Linked DNA regions of Drosophila melanogaster. Changing the gene in region 1 together with any one later gene gives a genetic interaction. Each region holds a gene or a part of one and is shown on either strand. Other genes may lie near its edges.

Region 1 (5,982 bases):
TCCAGATCCGGACTGCAGACGGTGAATTTCCGCACAACCTTGGAGGCCTGCACGTAGCCGAAGGCGTGCAGCTGGCCCTCGTGGCGGACACTCCATTCATCTGGACGACTGGGCTGGTACATCTGTAGCCATATGGAGGCGTCGACGCCCTGGCGGGTAGCAAAGGCGGCTGGAAAGCCAGGACGCAGCGTGGTGGTGAGCACCAGTGGCGGGGGACCAAGAAAAATAGTGTGGGTGATGCACCCGCTGGTCAAATTGAAGCGTACTAAAAGAAGAAAATGTATTTATTAAGCATATGCAGCAGATGTATAATAGAATGCTTACCCATCTTCATTTCTTCATCAGCGGATATTAAGTCACATTCTTCAACGGGATCCTGCAGACTTGGAATGGGCAGTGGTGGAGCTTCCATTGGATGTACTTCCTCCGCTACGTCATCTTTCTTCTGCGCGAACAAACGTGGCCAGTTCTGAATCTCCGCCTTGGTTAGTGACAATTCTAGGCCATTCTCAGCCAACTTAAATGCACTTAAATCATCTCCCACACTGGCGTATAACTCTTCGTCGAATATAACCTCATCCAGATGCTTTACAACGACAGTGGTTTTAGAACCGCTCACGTTAAACTCTTTAGCGGATGCAGTTGAAGGAACATTGAAACGAATGAGCACATTATTATCCGTTTGGGACCAGCTATAACTAGGTGGACCTCCATTTTCCAGCTGGCCATCGTGATCACCTGAGGAATTCAAGCGGGCAGCGGCTGCTTCATCGGCTGCCCGACGCTCCTCGGGAGTCTGAACATCGCGGTTGCTGGCAATGACTAGGGACTCGGCGCGAGGCTCAAAGGCGCAGTAGTGCACAGAGCCAGTGGTCTCCAGCCGTTGACAGATATTATATGACCACTCGTCATTGGTGGGCGAATGAGTCCACCGTGCCCAGGTCAAGTCCATGTAATAGACGTGCGTCTGATCTTGGCCAACTGCATCACGGCGTGCCACATGACCGGCCACCAGCGAGATCTGCTTACGTTCCTGCAGCACATCCAGCCGGGCATCGAAGAGTGCAAAGCCGCGATGACCACTGTTATTATTCACCGGCGAGCGTGTAATCCGTTGCCACTCCTGCACATCGGTGCGCGTTCTGTCGCCGGTGTCCACCAGATGGTAACTGGTTATACCGTCGCAGATCACACAGAATCGTTCCGAAACGAAAACTATGGTGTAGTTGTAGTCACCCGACCGATGTAGTTCCCCATCGCCCTGATCCCTATAGTCCACCGTGAGGACAACGCGCTGGGCACGTGCGCGTCCAGTCTGTAGATCGTAGTTGCACTGCACCAGCTGGTGGCGCTTGTTAAAGAAGTAGCTGCAGTGGCGCATCCATGGATCGGCTACCAGGTGATTGTGTCGGGCAAAGAGCTCCGTGTGCAGCAGCGAGAACTGATTGCTGCTCGGATCCAGCACGTAGGCATCACATCCAAGTTCCTGGCGAAGAACAGGCACCGAATCGAATGCCAATTTGTAGCCAGAAAAGTCCGAGCACACCAGGTTGCGATCCACTTTCAGTTCCACCACCGGCATCTTGCTTTACTGCGCCAATGCTGAGTTGGATTATATTGGAGATTTCGAAAAAATAGAGATAGATATTCCAAAACAAATCAAATCAAATCGGTAGTAGACCGGATAGAGATGGCAGATGACCGTTCGGCCGTGACTCGTATCGACTTTTTATCGACAAGTGGGGGATATGTACGATACCTTGGCAATTTTCAAATCTAATAAGATTCCTTTTTTTAGTTTGAAATTTAACTAAACAATTAAATAGCTAAAAAGAAAACATTAGTTAGTCACATATTTTTTTATCGAATCGAAAGTTTAAGCAATGTATCGATATAGCCCACATCGGTATCTAGCTCATCTCGATAGCGCCTGCCTATCGACGGACGGCCATCGGTAGTTGCGTGCCGTGGGAAAAACATAACGGGAGCGGAGCAGCTGTTGCCTGCTAATTGAAAAATTAGACACAAGAACGCAAAATTGTGAGTTTCGTGTGGAGTTTGGCCAAGTGAAAAGCGTTGGCGGGAGGCGACTACTCCACCACAACAAATCCAGTAGTAGCTGCAATACGACTCACCCGACTCCACAAAGTTAGTTTAGTGACACAATTCGGTACGTGCGATAGGGCGAGGGGCAACTCAAAAGTTCAAAATCTCAAGTATATCAAGTAATTCCGCATCGTCGTGTTCCGCCCACCCAAAATAATGCACATTGAGGATGCCAAGTGACGAGAGAGTAGAAGCGACGATGTCCACGGTGCGCCTGCCCATTGTGGGCATGACTTGCCAGTCGTGTGTGCGCAATATCACAGAGCACATTGGCCAGAAATCGGGAATCCTTGGCGTGCGCGTCATTCTCGAGGAGAATGCGGGCTATTTCGACTACGATCCCCGACAGACGGATCCCGCCCGGATAGCCAGCGATATCGACGACATGGGCTTCGAGTGCAGCTATCCAGGGGATGCAGCAGATCCTCCCGAAACTCCCGCCAGCGCATGGACCAACATACGGGTGGTGGGCATGACCTGCCAGTCGTGCGTGCGCAACATCGAAGGCAATATCGGCACCAAGCCGGGCATCCATTCCATTGAGGTGCAACTGGCGGCCAAGAATGCCCGCGTTCAGTACGATCCCGCCCAGTATGATCCCGCCCAGATAGCCGAGCTCATCGATGACATGGGTTTTGAGGCTAGTGTGCAGGAACCTCGATCGCCATCCCAATCGCCGTCGCCCGCCCCCGCCTCATCACCCAAAAAGAGGGCAACTCCTACTCCTCCACCTCCTTCATATGCTCAAAATGGTTCGGCAGTGGCCATACCCGTCGAACAGGAGCTACTGACCAAATGCTTTCTGCACATCCGAGGCATGACGTGCGCCAGCTGTGTGGCCGCCATCGAGAAGCACTGCAAGAAGATCTACGGCCTGGACAGCATCCTGGTAGCCCTGCTGGCCGCCAAGGCGGAGGTCAAGTTCAATGCCAATGTTGTGACGGCCGAGAATATAGCGAAATCAATCACGGAGCTGGGCTTCCCCACCGAACTCATCGATGAGCCGGACAACGGCGAGGCGGAGGTGGAGTTGGAGATTATGGGCATGACTTGCGCCTCCTGCGTCAACAAGATCGAGAGTCATGTGCTTAAAATAAGGGGCGTGACCACCGCCTCCGTCACACTGCTAACAAAGAGGGGTGAGTGTTTTTTGTGTACTTAAGCTAAGTGGCTTTCTGGAACTAGTTTATCCCGAGAGAATTTCAAATCACGTTCTGGGTCATGCATTCGAATCGAATTGCGAGTCTGGAAGCATTCCACAAGTGGCAGTGCCAATTGTTATGCAATATTTATAATAATAAACACCTGGAATGGGGCCATCAACCGATATGCACCTGTTGCGCTTTATTCTTGCCCAACGAGCACAGGTGTTAAATTCGATCATATATCTTGTATATCTTAAGGGATCGAATAATGCAATGGGAGTAATGAGCTGTAACAGAAGCAAACTATTGGCAATCGTTAATTGATGCAACTTGTGGCAATAACAAATATTAAATAAGCCATTCAAGGGAATTTCGTAGAATGCCCTTATTTGTTTTGCATTTCGCAGAAAGCGACAGCTGTTCCTTTTTATTAACCTACTAGCATCGAGTTCGAGTAGAATCGGTGCAAATGTTTTTTTTTTTTTTATTGTTCGCTTTTCACAATTTCCACAATTGAAAACTGGCCCAGCAATTGTTTATTGCAACTGATATACTCGATTTACTTTATGCTTTTTTTTCTGGGGAGGGTGGCAGGTTCGTTGATAAGAAAGTGCGAGGAGCACTATACTCATATGCATGTATGTATGTATGTACTTTATAAACCATACACTACTAACTATGCTTTCAGCAAACAATGCCAGTGGCAACTAGATTAAATAGCTGGAATTCACCACGCTCGTGTGCGTGGGCAGTAAAGCTATCTGGAACACTTGGATGAGGGGAATTCAATGGCAAGCCGAGAGTCGGGATATTTAAAATATTCAAGATATTCGCTAAAAAACACATAATATAATTATTGTTTTGTTGGGCGCTGGCAGCTCGAGTTTTATTTGCCAGATTATAGCGTGTTTTTTGCGAGTGTTCAGGAAGAACTTATATATACATATTTATGTATGCGATTAGCTGACAAAGAACAAATGAAATGATTTGAGCTCTTTGTTTTCATAAACTTTATACTGCCAATCGCATTTACCAATTAGCATTTAAGCCATGAAACTGAAAGTCCGCCTGGCCAAAGAAAAATCAAAACAAAAGTGAAAGAGCTCCAATACGCCTTGAAATACAAGTACATACATATAATGTATGTACATATATATGTATGAATGTATAATAATTTATATACCCGCGATTGGCGGGCAAACGAGCGAGGAACTAATCTCGCTTTTGTCTGGAAAAAAAGAGGGAAACCTCTCTCTTTTTCAGCTTTGCAGTCTTTCTGCTCCGCATGCGTGGCCACGAACTCCACTTCCACTTCGTACACAGCGAGAAATGGGGCTAACTATGATATAAGTATTATATAGAAGAGTGCTATCTACTTCGGCATATGATCAGCATATAAAATCTACTAATATTTAAAAGCACGAATCGTACAATGTTTAGCAAGTTTCTTTTATTTTATGTTAAGCACGCACTTTTTCTTCGAGTGCATTTCTAGTTTCATTCACCTTCACTTTGATTTAGAGCTGTTTTTACTTTACTTTTGCTTTGCCAGCTCAAAAATGTTGATTTGAAATTAGTGAACTAGTGGCGAATTATGCAATAACTTGGCTTTGATCCACCACATTCACATTGAATTCTGGCTGATTTACGAATATCGGTTTGCATACCCGTATTTATGTATGTACTAGATGTACGTGCGCCGTTTTGAGAAGCTCAATTGCAAATTCAAAAATGAAAATGCATAAATGGGGAGCCTCGTAATTATGATTGCAATGGAACTGGTTTTCGATTTTTTCGCATTCGACATGGAGACATGCGCACGGTGGAGAAAAGCGAGCGAAACTGTTGCGATTAAATGACACTGAAAATAATTTCAGACATTCAAAAGTGGTATGAAAACAGCGAGCCCACATGAATATCAATCGCTGGCAGCTGTATGATGGTATATAAAGTACAATATCGCTTGTTTTTTTAAAGTTTATTTGTTTATTTTGAATTTACATATATACTTATTAAGATACTTAATTGTATTGTAATCATTTTCGAAAAACAATTACGTACCAGTCATGCTTCTGAAAGAGTTCATAGATGTTTTGGGCCAGCGAAGTTGGACTTCTGCCATATGGATTGGTCCAATTCCGTGCGGCTTCTTATCTTTCAATCAATTAGCACTTAAACTTCATTTAACTAGCTTAACTTGTTGTTTGCCAATTGTTACTTGGCTTGTTTGCAGTTTGTTTGCCGCAAGTCGGTAGTCGAAATTGGGAATGTAAACTGTTGAGCAAAACATATGTTTTCCTCCGATTCTTATCGTCCGGCGATAAGTGAACGACAGAGAACGAACCACAGGCAATCTCAATTCAAATTGAAAATGTTCTAAAATTGTAACAACGAATCGCGGGCGATAAGATGCAATGGGCGGGCAAATAAAAGAAAGAAAGAACAAAAAAACTGAATCGAGAGCCCTAGAAAATGTATATTTCGACGACTGCAGTGGAACTTGCATAACTCATAAGGGATAGATTAAGATACCCACATATATTACTTTTGCTACTTTACTTTTGATTCGTTGAAATTCGAAAATGAAGTTCGAAAAAGCAATTTCTTGTGTAAACACACGAAACGCATCAATTATCAATTGAAAAGTGGGCTAAGATCGATCGGTAGCACTGATAATTAGCGACAATTGTCACATTCGGTGTGATCAACCTAATCCTTCCTCAATTTTGCA
Region 2 (4,501 bases), on another chromosome or scaffold:
GTTTTGATTTCCACCGTTCCGTCATCGCCGCGAACTCATCGACGCTAATTTAACGCACATACAATAATCGCTTTATACTTAGTATTTTAAAAATACTTATAAGTAGCACTTACCGTCCGCGGTATTTTTTGTTTCGCAGCAATTGGTATTCAATTAAATGCCATAAACAAACACAAAAAATGGAAATGGACGCAGACCTAACAAAGTAAATATTTATATTACAATCCGATATATTTTTAATTAATTTGATGCTCTCACGTTAGTCAGGCGATTGCCGAGCTAATGCGCGAGATCGAAGGTGCAAATGCCAGTGTCAGCACCTCGAAACAAAGCGAACGCAAAGTGAATCCTCTGGGCAAACTAAACAAACGCTTCTTAGGCCGCACCATAAACACCGCGATTCGGCATAATGATAGAGAAAAGGAGCGCACACAGGCAAATTGCCGACAGAAGCTGCAGGATCTGGATGATGTGCACGAAAGGAGGAAGTCCAACTACTTTTACAGCCGCGATGCACCCAGAACTCAAAGTGTTGATAGAAGCAGAAGTTCCAGCAGAAGGCGCAGCAGGAGCCGCCACAAAAAGGCCAAGAAGCATCGCAGCCGAAGAAGAACTAGGAGCAGCAGAAGTTCAAGCCGCAGTCGAAGTCGCAGCAGTTCACATCGGCGAAAAAAGCGCAAAAAGAAGGTTAAAAAACACAAAAAATCACACAGAAGACGAAGAAGCAGCCAGAGCAGCAGCGGTTGCGATTGGGAATCCGCACCCAGCGAGTCGTTACGTATACCCCCGCCTTCAGATGTGTTCCTAAACCACTCCAAGCAAATGGCTCTTGCAGTGGCCATGGCCTATGGTCAATTACTAAACCCGAGCAGCCAAAAGAAAGCCAGCGAGTCTAAGGAACACTCCTCCTCTCCTATAAGCGATATATTCCGGGAACTTATGTCCGACGAAGAGGTGGACAAATCCGAGAAGCCCGAGGCCCTGTCCATTTCATCCAGCGACGAAGAGCCAAATGTTCTCACCATTAAAGTAAGCTCGAGCTCCGAGTCCAGCGGCAATAAATCAAGCTCGGACTCAGATTCAGAAGCAAAGAACAGCGTACGCAGCTGTATAACCCTAGAATCTGGTGATAATAGTGATATTGAGATAATTGAGTACCATGAAGAGCCCAAAAAAAAGGCATGTGAAACTGAACCTGCGTCTGAACCTGAATATCCGTCTCAATCGGATAGCACAAATCAACAAGTGGACGATAGCACAGCTGTCACTACAGTGGACCTGACCGAGGATTAATTAGGCTAAACTTTAGTTAGAGAATCGTTATGTAAGATCAGAATGAAATTTTAAAGGAAACAAACTGAAGTTGAACCAAACTAAGAATATTGTTTTTATATTATTATTACAGATATAAGCTCTGCCATAGATAGATTCATATTTGGTTGGTTTTTTTTTAAGTTATGTTTAATAGTAATATACTAAATATACCACCGAATGATACCCTGTTGTGTCTGTTTATAATATCAACTTTGGGTTCATTTTTTTATTTAAATTATAAAATAAAAATGCAAAATTTGAAATGTTAATAATACTTATTAGTTTTAGTAAGTAATAAAAACCACGTGCCAGAGCTCTTGCCATAGTTGATATGCCTCTCGTGTACGGCAACAAACTGTTGCTCTCTCTCTCTCTCTATGACCGATTTTCTCTCAGCACCTGCCCGAACAGCTGATTCTTTATTTACCACTCAATTTTCGATGGAAAACGCCAGCGCGAAGACAATTAGAAATCGCTAAGTTAAATAAATAGAGATCCGTTGTCGCAAGATGTTCGGGAACCTGAAAAAGAAGCTTAGCAGTGCGATCCAGGAGGGCCTGGTGATCTCGGAGAATCTGCAACAGCAATATCGCCAGCGTGTCAGTTCCGGAAACTCGGGGAGTAGCCAAGCCAGTGGGATTACGACCCCCATTTCGCCACTGGGCCTTAACGAAAGTCTGTCGTCCAGCAGGAGCAGTAGCCTCTCCCTTAGTGCTCCCTTCCAGCTAACCGATGGAGTGCCCAGTCACCTAAATGTGGCAGCTGGTTGCAGTTTGCTTGCCAAATACGAGGATGATTGGCAGCAGATTCATGGCGCCAACGAAAAGAACGCGGAGAAGGCTGCGCAGATTGCTAACCAAATCTCCGGCATCCAAGACCAGGCCAGCCATCAGCACAGGATCATGAGTGAGCTGAACAGTAGTCTGGCGGGAATTCCCACGTTGATAGCCCAACTGCAAAACAGCTCACAGGTTCTTAATTCCCTGGAGGAAATGGGTAAGCAGTTGGAGATTGAGCTCGAGAAGCTGGAGGATCTGCGCGAGGAGTGTGAGCTCCAAGAGTTCATCCTTGAGCAGCAGTTTCAGCTCTCCCGGCACAAGCAAAAGAAACTGAACGAACTGGAGCAGTATCGCCAGCAAATAGCCCAGAAACACCAATCCAAAATCAAGGATCAGGAGCAGACCCTCCTGAAGCTGCAGAGGGAACGACAGGCTGTCTTCGACGACGCCTTCCGGGAGGATATGGAGGAGTACAAACAGCGCGGCCAGCTGACAAGTTAGTCTGATAACATAAACAAATATGATGCACTAAGTTAACGCCCCTTTTTTTTTAGAAATTCAAACCACCAGCAACAAGTTGGCTCTGGAGGAAGTCGTCCTTGAAGCCAACGAAGTGGAGACAAAGGATGCTCTGGAACAATTTCTAAATGGCTAACTCACATTGTTTGCTCATCTCGCAAAAGACTACAATTTGTGCCTTTAAGTGCAATAAGCAGTGTAATTGTTAAAATATTTTAACGGGGACTTCTGAAAAATAACTTAATTTTTTCACAACATTTTCTTACTGCATTTGAACGTTAAACTATTACATTAAAGGGAATTGGACATACAAAGATTAATTATCAATGCCAAATTATTTTAACATACAAGGCATTTTAACATAATTTGTTAAAGTAATTTCAAAATTGCTTTACTATCTCGGACAAAATATAGGCAAATTTAATATAAGTTTCAAATAATGAAGTCAAAGTAAAAGTGAATTTTCAGGAATCCCCCTAGTGTATATGAAATTTGTTGATGTGGCACCGTCACTGCATGTTTTGACAGCGCTGAATAAACATTGTTTTTATAACAGTCGATTTTCTCTTTTCTTAATAGACACACAATAATAGATTCCTTAAACTTAGCATGATTATATGGAAATTAAATTAAATATTAAACATGTTTATGATTACGAGATGGTAATTTCACAACGTGGCAGCTCTGGCGAGAGCAACAACAGCTGATTGCTAATCAATGATTAAAAAACTGATTAAATTAGAGATAATTCTCCGCAGCTTACACTTGTCGCAGCTTTCATTGCTCCCCGCATTGCCCCCCAAGTTTCCGTACCCCCTCCTGGATTTCGAGCTTATGGGTGCAGTTGGATCCGCTTTGAGATCCCCAATAGTCGACATGTCCACCAAGCAGGCGAAATTCGTTGAAAACACCATTGCCAGCAACAAAGTGGTGATATTCAGCAAGACCTACTGTCCCTACTGCACGATGGCCAAAGAGGTGAGAAAGTTGCGAGACCTTGAAAAGTCCCAAACAGTGATAAACATCTTTGCGTTCCAGCCCTTCAAAAAGCTCAATGTGGACGCCACCATAATAGAACTCGATGGAAATCCCGATGGCAACGAAATTCAGGCAGTTCTGGGCGAGATTACCGGTGCCAGAACGGTGGGTGCACTAAATATTTTACATTATAAAGATTAATTATCATTTGTAACCTGTGTACTGTGTAGGTTCCCCGCGTCTTTATCGATGGCAAATTCATTGGCGGTGGCACTGACATCAAACGAATGTTCGAGACAGGAGCTCTGCAAAAATATTTCCAATAAATAGTGTTCTTACTCTGTTCAGAACTCCGTTTTATGTAAAAAGTTTGTTAATCTTCAAAGTCCTTAATAAATGCTTTTAAAATTTATGTTTTGCGCTTATTGAGATTACATCGTCTTCTGAGTAATGGGCAAAGTGTTACTAATACCATTCATTATCCGTTAATAATTTTTATGATTGTAGTTCTACGGATCTGTTAGCATAGATATCACAAACATAAGAATATCCCCTTCAACTGCGCCCATGTGAGCAACAGTTTGCAGTTTTAACTGATCTGGCAGCGCCGTAACTGCAGTAAATAAAAAATTGTTTACAATAGTATTTAATAAACTGAATGATGGCTGATTTGGTGAGCGGTGAAGCTTCTGAATCCGACGAGGAGCTGCAGGAGAAGAATAAGGTTGTTGAGGATATCATTTATAAATAACAGTCCAATAATAAAACCATTTTGTGACAGATTTTTGCTGCTGAAATTTCGGGCGAAGCCTCCGAAGAGGATGATGAAGACATTTACGAGCAAGGCCGAAGCAGCAACCAGGTCAACAGCACGGCTTCCATTTACCGGAATAATCTGCTTCAGCGGAAAC
Region 3 (8,977 bases), on another chromosome or scaffold:
TTTTCATTTGTAATTCAAGATGTCAGTCAGCTGGGAGAACCAAAACTTAATTAAAGTTCCGCACTTCTACAGAGCCAATTCCTTACTTATCCCGACTGTCTCTCTCGCTTTTCCGTATGTATTTAGCCATTCCCAGAAAGTCCGCCCATTTCGTTTAAATTCAAAGTGTCTGTCCAGCTCGCCAGGTAAGGTGGTTTATCTTTCAGGTGCAAGTTTCGCCTGCCGCACCTGCAGCAAATGTCCGGACCTGCGACTTTGTTAGCCTCGCCTGCGGATACGGGTCTCCCTCCCCCTTTTCCAGCTCCTTTGCTGCAAATGCGTTTTCCCGAGCATGTGTGAGCGTAATTTTATGAGCTTATTTCATACTTTTCACTTCTAATTTGGCTCCGCGCTAGTTGCCATGTGCAGATTTCGACTTGTTGAGTTCTCCTTGTCGTGGTGCTTTCATTTTCATTGCATGATATCGGTTTCACTTACGGCTCACCATATAGAACATCTAATTTAATTAGCTGACACCAACGGGTGTTCCGACTTATTCTCTTGCTCGCTCTCCATTTTCCAACATCTGTTGTGGGGGGAAAAGTGGGAGAGCCGAAGGAAAAGCTGCAGGAAAAGTAGAATGTCTCATTATGTATGCATTGAGTTTCCAGTGTCCGTTGGCAGCGACAGAAAAACTTTTTGATAACTGTAATTAGCATATGAAGAAAATCAGACTCGGATAGTTTTCTTTGGAACTCAGGCAGGTGGAAAGCTGTTAAATGTATTCCAGTCCAATTAGGAATCCGCCTGCTGAACTGGCGTAGTAATTAAAGCAGTAAAGTTAAATCAGCATGGTAAGTTTTTCGTTTTAAAGTTATCCAATGTAATTTGATAAACACAAATGCTATTTAATTTAATAAAATGATTTATCAATGATAAAAGTAACCAAATTTGTAATGTAATGCTTACATTTTGGTCTATTGAAAGATAATTATAAATATATGATTATTATATAATCAAAACCAGATATATGATATATGTATATACCGGCCATAGGAACAGTCGGATAAGTTATTCATATGCATAGTTTATTCGGTAAGCTTTATTAAATATGTTCAATATACTTATATTACAACTTTAAACAAGTCTATGCAAATAATAAAAATCAGATATTATACATAAGAAAGTGCGATGGAGATTAAATGGCATATCTGTGCTGATTAACTTTTTTTTAGGTTGCCCATAGTCTCCAATTAAATTACTTCCCTAGACCCATAATCAATTCTACCGTTCCTTGGTTTATCTCCCTCATTCAATCTTCCTGTTCTTCCCTTTCTGCATACATTAGCGCTTTCAATCGCCTTCTGGGCCATTTCTTTCCGATTGAAATCCGCCAAAATCTCTCTTGGCCTAGGCTATCACCACCATCAATTCGCGTTGCATCTATAAATAGCATCTTGTTGCACTGTCCGTATCCGTGGGATTCGCGAGTGAGCCGTGGGATTACCGACGTATTGCCTTCCATTGGCCGCAGACCAGAAATGCGAGAGGTGGCCAATGTCAATGCCATGGCCATGGGCGCATATGGCCAAATGCAAATGCGAAACCGAAACAGAAACAGAATCGAAATCGCAATCGGAAGCAAAGAGCCAAAAAGCGATGGAGGAGAAGCACTACAAAATAATCCAACGGTCGCCGCAAGAGAAACACTTCCCATTTCTTCCGGCCGCAAAGAGAGGTGCCCGGGCGGTGATTAAATCAGTTAAGAGCCATTGGCCATTGCAGCCAGGTCTCCTCTACCCGGAGCCAAATCCCCCTGGTCATCGCAATCAACCCATTCCCCTCTCCCATTGCCGCCCAAATTCATTGGCGCCTTTCCCTTCCGCCTTTGGCTGTTGCGCATTTTGTGTTTTGCTCTCAACGTTCATTTTGGCCTTCTTTTTCTGGCCAAATGATTTAATTTCATGTATTTCGCTGTGCGGCAATGGCGATGCTTATTAGTTGCAATTTGCCAGCTCTGGCATAAGTTTACTCTAGCCAAAGCCAACAGCAAGCACCGCAAACTAAACCAAATAAATAAAATAATTGCCTTCCCAAGAAGTTGATAGAATGGGCAAAAATAAGGGTGGTGGCGGCGGCGGTGGAGGAGGAGGTGGCGGTGGTGGAGGCGGGGGCAATGTAAGCAATATTTGTGTTATGCAACTTGCGTTCTAATTGTGAGTCTAACTACTTGTAATCCTCATCTTAGTGCCAGCTCATTCAGCTCATGGTCCCACCAAACTTCCAAGTAGCAATTTAACAATATTTAACTTTATCCCTACTTTCCAACAATTTTAAAATAATTCGTTGACCAACTTTCTAAACATAAATTTATAAAAGCATTGCCAAATTAAAAAAAAAAACTTTAGTGCACTAGAACTATTAACTTTGAGATTAAGCCTTGCATACAGTTTTTTAGGAAGGTGTTTCGTGCTACCTGTATTAATACGTTATTGTAGACCACAAATAATGGTTAGATTACATTTTATCATGCGGATAATAGCTGCTGCTGTATGTAATTAGAGAACTCCTGGTGCTTTGGAACAAGGGTCCCCCCATTGCAATCCTGGCACAACTAACCTTTTTCTCATTTACTGACTTCGCTGGGCAACCTTAAACAACCGTGGCTCGTTATTTGCTCGGTCCCAGCTCAAAGCGAAATCTTTCCGTGTTTCTTTGCCCACAGAAAAAGGGCGGCGGTGGTGGCGGAGGCGGCGGCGGAGGTGGCTCCGGAAATAAAAACAAAGGCGGCGATGGAGGCGGCGGTGACAAAGGTGGAGCCAAGAAAGGACAAGACCAAAAGGCAGCCGCAGGCGGTGGCAAGAAGGGAGGCAAGAAATAGCAACCGTGGCAACATCAAAGCGCATTAAAAATTACAAATTTAGAGTTAAGTTGAAATTAAAAGTGATATCAGGGTGTATATACGAGTATCTCTATAATGTATGTGACTTTCTTACAATTTACTGGGCGCTGCCCGCCTCTTCTACTACAAGTACGTTCGGATATATTTATGTAGGTTAAGCTTAACAATAGAAGAGCATCCCATCCGCATTCCGCTCGAATGCACTTCACAGGCCACTTGATTTGAATCCTCTAGCGAAACCACTCCTGGGACATCCCAAAGAAGGAAGCTGCGCTCGATTTGGATTTGCTGCTGTCTCCCTTGCGGGCTCCATTGCCACCCGACTTCCTCGTCGGCGTCGTTGTCGCCGTCTGAGATAGAGGGATAAAATGGGAGATGTTATTAATTAATTAGTACTATTAATTGGTAGTTTGTCTGATTAATCTGTTAATTTGCCGCTGGACTCTCAGATTTATAGCGAGCAGCGAACAGCAACAAATGGAAAGCAAACATAATTAGAGAACGATTTATACCGGCGGAGATCGCAGCTAATTACAAAACATGCGAGTAACGGCCAAGTAGCCACTGCCATAAATTAACATTTGCCCAGCGATTTGATTTCAATAATTGCAGCGATTCATTAATTACCATCTAAGGCACTCGTATACGCGCCCGTAATATATACATAATCATTCTGCCGATGTTCTGGCCATCCACTTGGAAATTTCGGGTTGGGTTTCAAGCGAAACTTTTGCCAACCACTTGCGGACGAAGTAGGGAGGAGTGGTTGGGAAATGGCGGCAGAAAGTTGCACCTAATTAAAATTTGTCTTGCGGCATTCTGGTTTATTTATTGCTGGATGGACCAAATTAGTTTAATTAAACTGCTGCTTCAGCTTGAAGAGGTTTTCAAATTTGGAAATGAAGCACTTAATAAGAGCAATGCGGCTATTTTGCTCACTCTTAATAAGTATTGGCTAAACAATCAATATCATGCAGCATGCAAACGAGGAATGATAACAAAGTATCAACAATCAAATAACATTCCTACCCAACCAGAGCAAATGTTGAAACTATTGACTTAGGAATGCAGTCGATAGAAATCCTAGGAAAGAAACATGGGAACGTAGCATTATAACTTGATAAAGTTGGTAAAAGATAAACTTTATATCTATTAGGGCTGTCGGTTTAATGCTTCAGCTAATCAATTTAGAATTTTAAATACACCACCAAATAGTAAAGCTTATACTCTTGAAGCCAACACCGACAGCCCTCTATATCATCACACTTTATACTCACTTTCTCAACTGGCTCTTGGATCGGAGATTTCCGCTCTGCGCTAGTAACTCTTCCGGCAGCTTGGGGCATCACAATGGGCAGCAGCGGGAACCACAGCGACGTGGATCCGGAAGAACTGAGACACAGCACATTGGGATCTGCTTCATGGGCCAAAGAACTGGCAGCAGCTGCACCCTGACTGGGAGCAGCTGCCGAGGGAGTAAGCACTCCCAGTTCACCCTGCAGACGGCTTGCAGCTCGGGACACATGAGCGGTTATATGCTCGGCAAACAGCTCGAAGTCAAAGGGATCTATGTAGTCGCGCAGTTGGTTCTGCTGGGCGTGGATTTGGTCGTAGAGAGTCCTCTCCTCACGTGAAATGGCGAACACGCGCTCCAGGAACTTAAGATCAAAGTATAGTTGCAGGGCAATATTCTGACTGGCTTTGGTGCATTCCGCGTGGGCCAATCCCTCGTAGTGGCAGAGCAGTTTCCCTATGAGCCGCTGAATGAATGCTTGCAATACCTTGGGTGGCAGAGTTTGGGGAACAACCGAATTCAATGCCTGAATTAGCTGATGAAGATACGTCTGCAGAGAGAGTCGCGGCTGACTGGGGATTCGAATGGTTGACTGAACACTCTGCTCCTGGTCCTCGTCGCGCTGTTCCAGTGTCAAGGTCTGCCAAAGCTACTCAAGAATATAATTATGTTACGTTACAAATAAATTTCTTCTTTCCATATAATTACCGCAAAGTCGCTGAGAACCACTTCATGATTAATGACCTTTGGCAGTTTCTCTTCGCAATTGTGGCCGGCCAACACATCGTCAACGATGACCAGCCAAAAGGATAGCATCTCCTTTTCGATCAGGCCACAAATGCGCTGCCAATGCTCAATTCCCAATCCCGCCGAGTTGTCAGTCCACTGCCGCCAACTGGACGGCTGGCAGAAGCACAACTTTAAATTGGGGCACAGCTCGACCAAGGCGAGACTATTCCTCAAAGCCAGGAGCAGAGCAGGGCGTTCCCTTAGCTCTAAACCTTTCAAATTGGATAAATACTCTGTCAGCTGTTCCTCGGCCGTTTCGCGCAGAAACTCGATAAGTGAAACCTTGTCCTCAGCCCTCGTCGTTTGTTCTTGTAACATCACATTCAGCTCCTGTACGATATCCGCCAGATGTGAGTCAAAACGTTTACACAGTTCTATTGTTGCGCCGTCATAGCCCTTCGTCCGATTTGCCAGTCGCTTTGGTTGATCGCTGAGTGCTGCCGCCAAGCTTAAAGGCAAATCATCGCTCTGCTCCCGCCAAATTTGTAGAGGCGGTTGCGACTGACCGGCTTCAATAAGCAATAGTACCTGTTCGTAGGTCAGCTTCATGGCGGAAGCCCAGCTGCTGCGAATTATCTCTCGTACTCTGGCGTTGATCAACGGCACGTACTTTCTGGCGTAGAAGTCTAACTGGCTACGCTTAAGATGCAATTGCTGTTCTAGGCGAACGAAATCCGGTCGACCATTAGTTCTGGCCGCGGACTTAATGTCCTGGATGGTCTGCATGTTGGTGACTAGTGCAAAGACTTGCTGCAAGTGAGCCGCTGCCAAGGCGTTCATTTTATCTAGCCATTGTTGAAGTGAAGAACCCAACTGCTCAGGTGTTAGCTGAGGTACATCAAATTGTGGCTTAAAACCAGCGATGATTTCGGGTAAAAGATGAACCAGCTGGCGCTCGCTACTCTCCATTCGGTTGATGCTGGGTGGACACGTAGAAGAGGCACACTCCTCCAAGCGGCTAAAAAGAAGGCTATAACCTGTACGAGAGAAAAGACCGATTGTTCCAATAATAATGTTGTGTGCCTATCTGCGAATGGAAACATACCCAAAAGACACTTGTCCAGAAGCTCCACGGTGCTGTTGAGCACGTTTAAGCTAGCCAAAATGCGATCCTTGACGCGACGTGGCTCCGATGGACCGCTTTGCAGGCAGTTCAGAAAGGCTGAGGAGCGCAGGTTCAAGAAGGATTTCAGCACAGTACTCAAATCGCTTTTGTCTAGCAAGAGAAGGCTCTGCAGGCAGTCCACAGTCATTTCTTGTAGGAGTTCCTCCCTCTCCAGTGCGGTCAGTATGGCTTGTTTGATGGTCACGTGAAAGGGACGCAGGATTTCCCATTGCTTGCGCGCTACCGGTAGTTTCTGCATCAGGGCACTCTGGCCGTCCAGTTGCAAGCCCGTGCTGATGTGGCGACTGAAGATGAACAACTCAGTAGCGGCATAGAAGCGATCGTTGTCCAAGTGCGTCCAGATTAGTTCCGGCAGGGCAGTAAGCAACTTAATCTGAGCCATGGTGCCGTAGTAGGTCTGCAGCTTTTTTCCGGCGTTCCTCTCCTTCAGTGCGGCATCTTTAGCACTTGCATTGGCAGTTGACTGGAAGCCCAGGAGCTGCTGCTCGTTTAGACTGCGGCAATTGGCCTGCACGTGTCGCACTTGCTCCATAAGTGTCCCGGCCGACGTTTGCATCGCAGCAATGGTGTCAGCCGCCTGCAAAAGATCTCGGTACCGCTCCCTTAAAGATTTAGAATGTTTAAGCAGCAAATCTTCTGAAGGTGCCACATCACTCACCCGACATGAGTGCGCAACTCCTCGCGCTTGTTCTCCACCACCGACTGGATCTTTTTGTGCACCTCGTCTATCTCGGACACGCTGTGCTGCTCAAACAGCGTGTCCACGTTCAGGTTTAACAAATTGGCCGTCATTTAGCCGTCAAATTAGTTTTATTTAAATTAAGAAAACAATAACAAGGGAGCAGCTGTAATAAAATCGAATTATGTATCGATGACTGGCAACATCGATATTTTCTCTCATGACTGTCTATGACTGTTAAATTTATGTTAGTTTACATTTCTCTGTTGGTAAAAATGTTAGATATGCTGTCATGTGCAAGCCGTTACATTTCAATATAACATAAAGAGTTATAGTTAGGGGAATTACCTCATTTAATCGAAAAAAGATATTTTTCTAAATCCAGGTTTCATTTGTTTAAATATACTTTATTAAATGCATTTGTCTGGCATAGATAAACTAATTTACATACACAACAAGTGTAAAAGCAAGAATTCTGATTGGTTTGGCAGCAGTAATAAAGAAAAACCAACAATGGCTTTCACTCCTTTCCCAATTCCCGCAGCACTGCGTTGGCGATCACAATTCTTTGGATCTCCGAGGTTCCCTCGTAAATCTCTGTGACGCGGGCGTTGCGGTAGTAAAGCTCCGCAGGCAGATCGGTGGTGTACCCCATCCCACCCAGGATCTGGATGCACTGGTGGGCACAAAAGGTGGCGGACTCGGAGGCATGCAGCTTGGCCATGGCCGCCTCCTTTGTGATTGGCAGCCCATTATCCTTCAGCCAAGCGGCACGCCACGTTAGCAGCCTTGAGATCTCCACCCGCGTGGCCATGTCGGCCAGCTTCTGCTGGATGAGCTGCAACCGTGCCAGATGCTTTCCGAAGGCCACCCTCTTCTGCGAATAATCCACGGCTAGTTCCAGGGCAGCTTGTGCGATACCGGTGGCCTGGGCGGCTATACCGATCCTGCCACAGTCCAAGGACTGCATGGCGATCTTGAAGCCATCACCGGCAGCTCCAAGGACCCGGGATCGCGGCACGTGAACGTCCTCCAGCACCAGCTGGCAAGTCGAAGTCGCGCGCATGCCCATTTTGCTTTCCTTCTTGGCTATGGAGAGTCCTGGAACATCCTTGGGCGTAAGAAAGGCAGTGATTCCCTTGTGTTTCATGCTCTTGTCCACCGTGGCAAAGACGATACCCCCGCTGGCCTCCTTGGAGTTTGATATCCACGCTTTAGTGCCGTTTATTTGGTAGCTGTCCCCTTGCAGCTTGGCCGTGGTGCTGGCAGCTCCTGCATCCGATCCGTTTCCAGGTTCCGATAGTGCATAGAAGGCGATGTGCTCACCCTGGGTGTACGGCACCAGGAAATCCTGCTTCTGCTGCTCGGTTCCATGCTGCTGCACTGCACCCAGGTACAGGTTATTCACGCCCATCACAATGGACACGGCGGCGTCACCACGAGCCACCTCCTCCATGCCAATCGCGTAGGCCTGGTAATCCAATCCGGAACCACCTGAAAAATCAATATTTAATGAATGGAATCTAGTAGTATGATCTATTTATATACCATTTCAAAAATGAAAACATCACATATTTTATGTTATGTAAATATTGTAAATATTATAATTGAAATAGGAACTCACCATACTCCTCTCGAACCGTCACTGACATGAGACCGAGTTCTCCCAACCGTCGGACCTGTTCCGCCGGATAAAGCTCCTCCCGGTCGTGGTGTCGCGCTTTGGGGGCCAGTTCCGCATTGGCGAACTCCCGGCAAGTCTTCTGGAGAATCTGGTGGGTCTCGGAGAGGGCGGCCAGGCATGCGATTCCCCGGTTTCCACCAGCGATTATCCTCGCACTCCATGCGCCGCTCGAGCGTTGACCTGCAAAGACGGAGGCGGCAAATCGATCATCCAGTCAGCCGGGAATCACCCAGTTCCTCACCCAACGTCCGCGCCACTCTGATCAGCTGCTGCATTCCGTCGCCAACTGATCCCAAGCCCGTGGTGCCGGTTGCGATCGAGGTAGTGAAAGCTTTTTCGCACTCGTCGACGAGCCGATCGAAATACAACCGAGGAAAACAGCTTTTATACGCAGCTTTTTGAGGCGAAGTTCATGGGAGGAGATTGAAAGGGGGTCCCGTTTATTAAAAACTACTAATCGATTTTGTAAAATGGTTCTTTTAAATTGATTTTAATTGAGTATAAGAATTACTAAAATCATTTTA

What was found.
Region 2: of ATP7 (region 1) and Grx1, changing one enhances a phenotype caused by changing the other (phenotypic enhancement), as found in Drosophila melanogaster (one study listed by BioGRID).
Region 3: of ATP7 (region 1) and Cog1, changing one suppresses a phenotype caused by changing the other (phenotypic suppression), as found in Drosophila melanogaster (one study listed by BioGRID).

Annotation. Positions count from the first base shown.
Region 1 is NC_004354.4:11,853,077-11,859,058, forward strand, and holds the start of ATP7 (ATP7), read left to right. Parts: upstream 1-1,945; 5' UTR 1,946-2,275; coding exon 2,276-3,245; intron 3,246-5,982. Other genes in the region: CG10347 (uncharacterized protein), read right to left, coding at 1-265, 325-1,582.
Region 2 is NT_037436.4:18,866,057-18,870,557, forward strand, and holds Grx1 (glutaredoxin 1), read left to right. Parts: upstream 1-3,173; 5' UTR 3,174-3,274; intron 3,275-3,281; exon of another isoform or gene 3,282-3,370; 5' UTR 3,371-3,446; coding exon 3,447-3,590; intron 3,591-3,650; coding exon 3,651-3,755; intron 3,756-3,820; coding exon 3,821-3,916; 3' UTR 3,917-4,001; downstream 4,002-4,501. Other genes in the region: CG14074 (uncharacterized protein), read left to right, coding at 283-1,293; Dysb (dysbindin), read left to right, coding at 1,824-2,589, 2,648-2,748; Blos3 (biogenesis of lysosome-related organelles complex 1, subunit 3), read left to right, coding at 4,252-4,314, 4,372-4,501.
Region 3 is NT_033777.3:12,212,723-12,221,699, forward strand, and holds Cog1 (component of oligomeric golgi complex 1), read right to left. Parts: upstream 6,965-8,977; 5' UTR 6,883-6,964; coding exon 6,749-6,882; intron 6,693-6,748; coding exon 6,010-6,692; intron 5,942-6,009; coding exon 4,884-5,941; intron 4,825-4,883; coding exon 4,159-4,824; intron 3,965-4,158; coding exon of another isoform or gene 3,941-3,964; exon of another isoform or gene 3,911-3,940; intron 3,232-3,910; coding exon 3,112-3,231; 3' UTR 2,861-3,111; coding exon of another isoform or gene 2,705-2,860; 3' UTR 2,158-2,704; coding exon of another isoform or gene 2,089-2,157; 3' UTR 1,070-2,088; downstream 1-1,069. Other genes in the region: CG14742 (uncharacterized protein), read left to right, coding at 2,089-2,157, 2,705-2,860; CG4860 (uncharacterized protein), read right to left, coding at 7,290-8,263, 8,394-8,633, 8,695-8,728. UniProt on the Drosophila melanogaster protein: Required for normal Golgi function.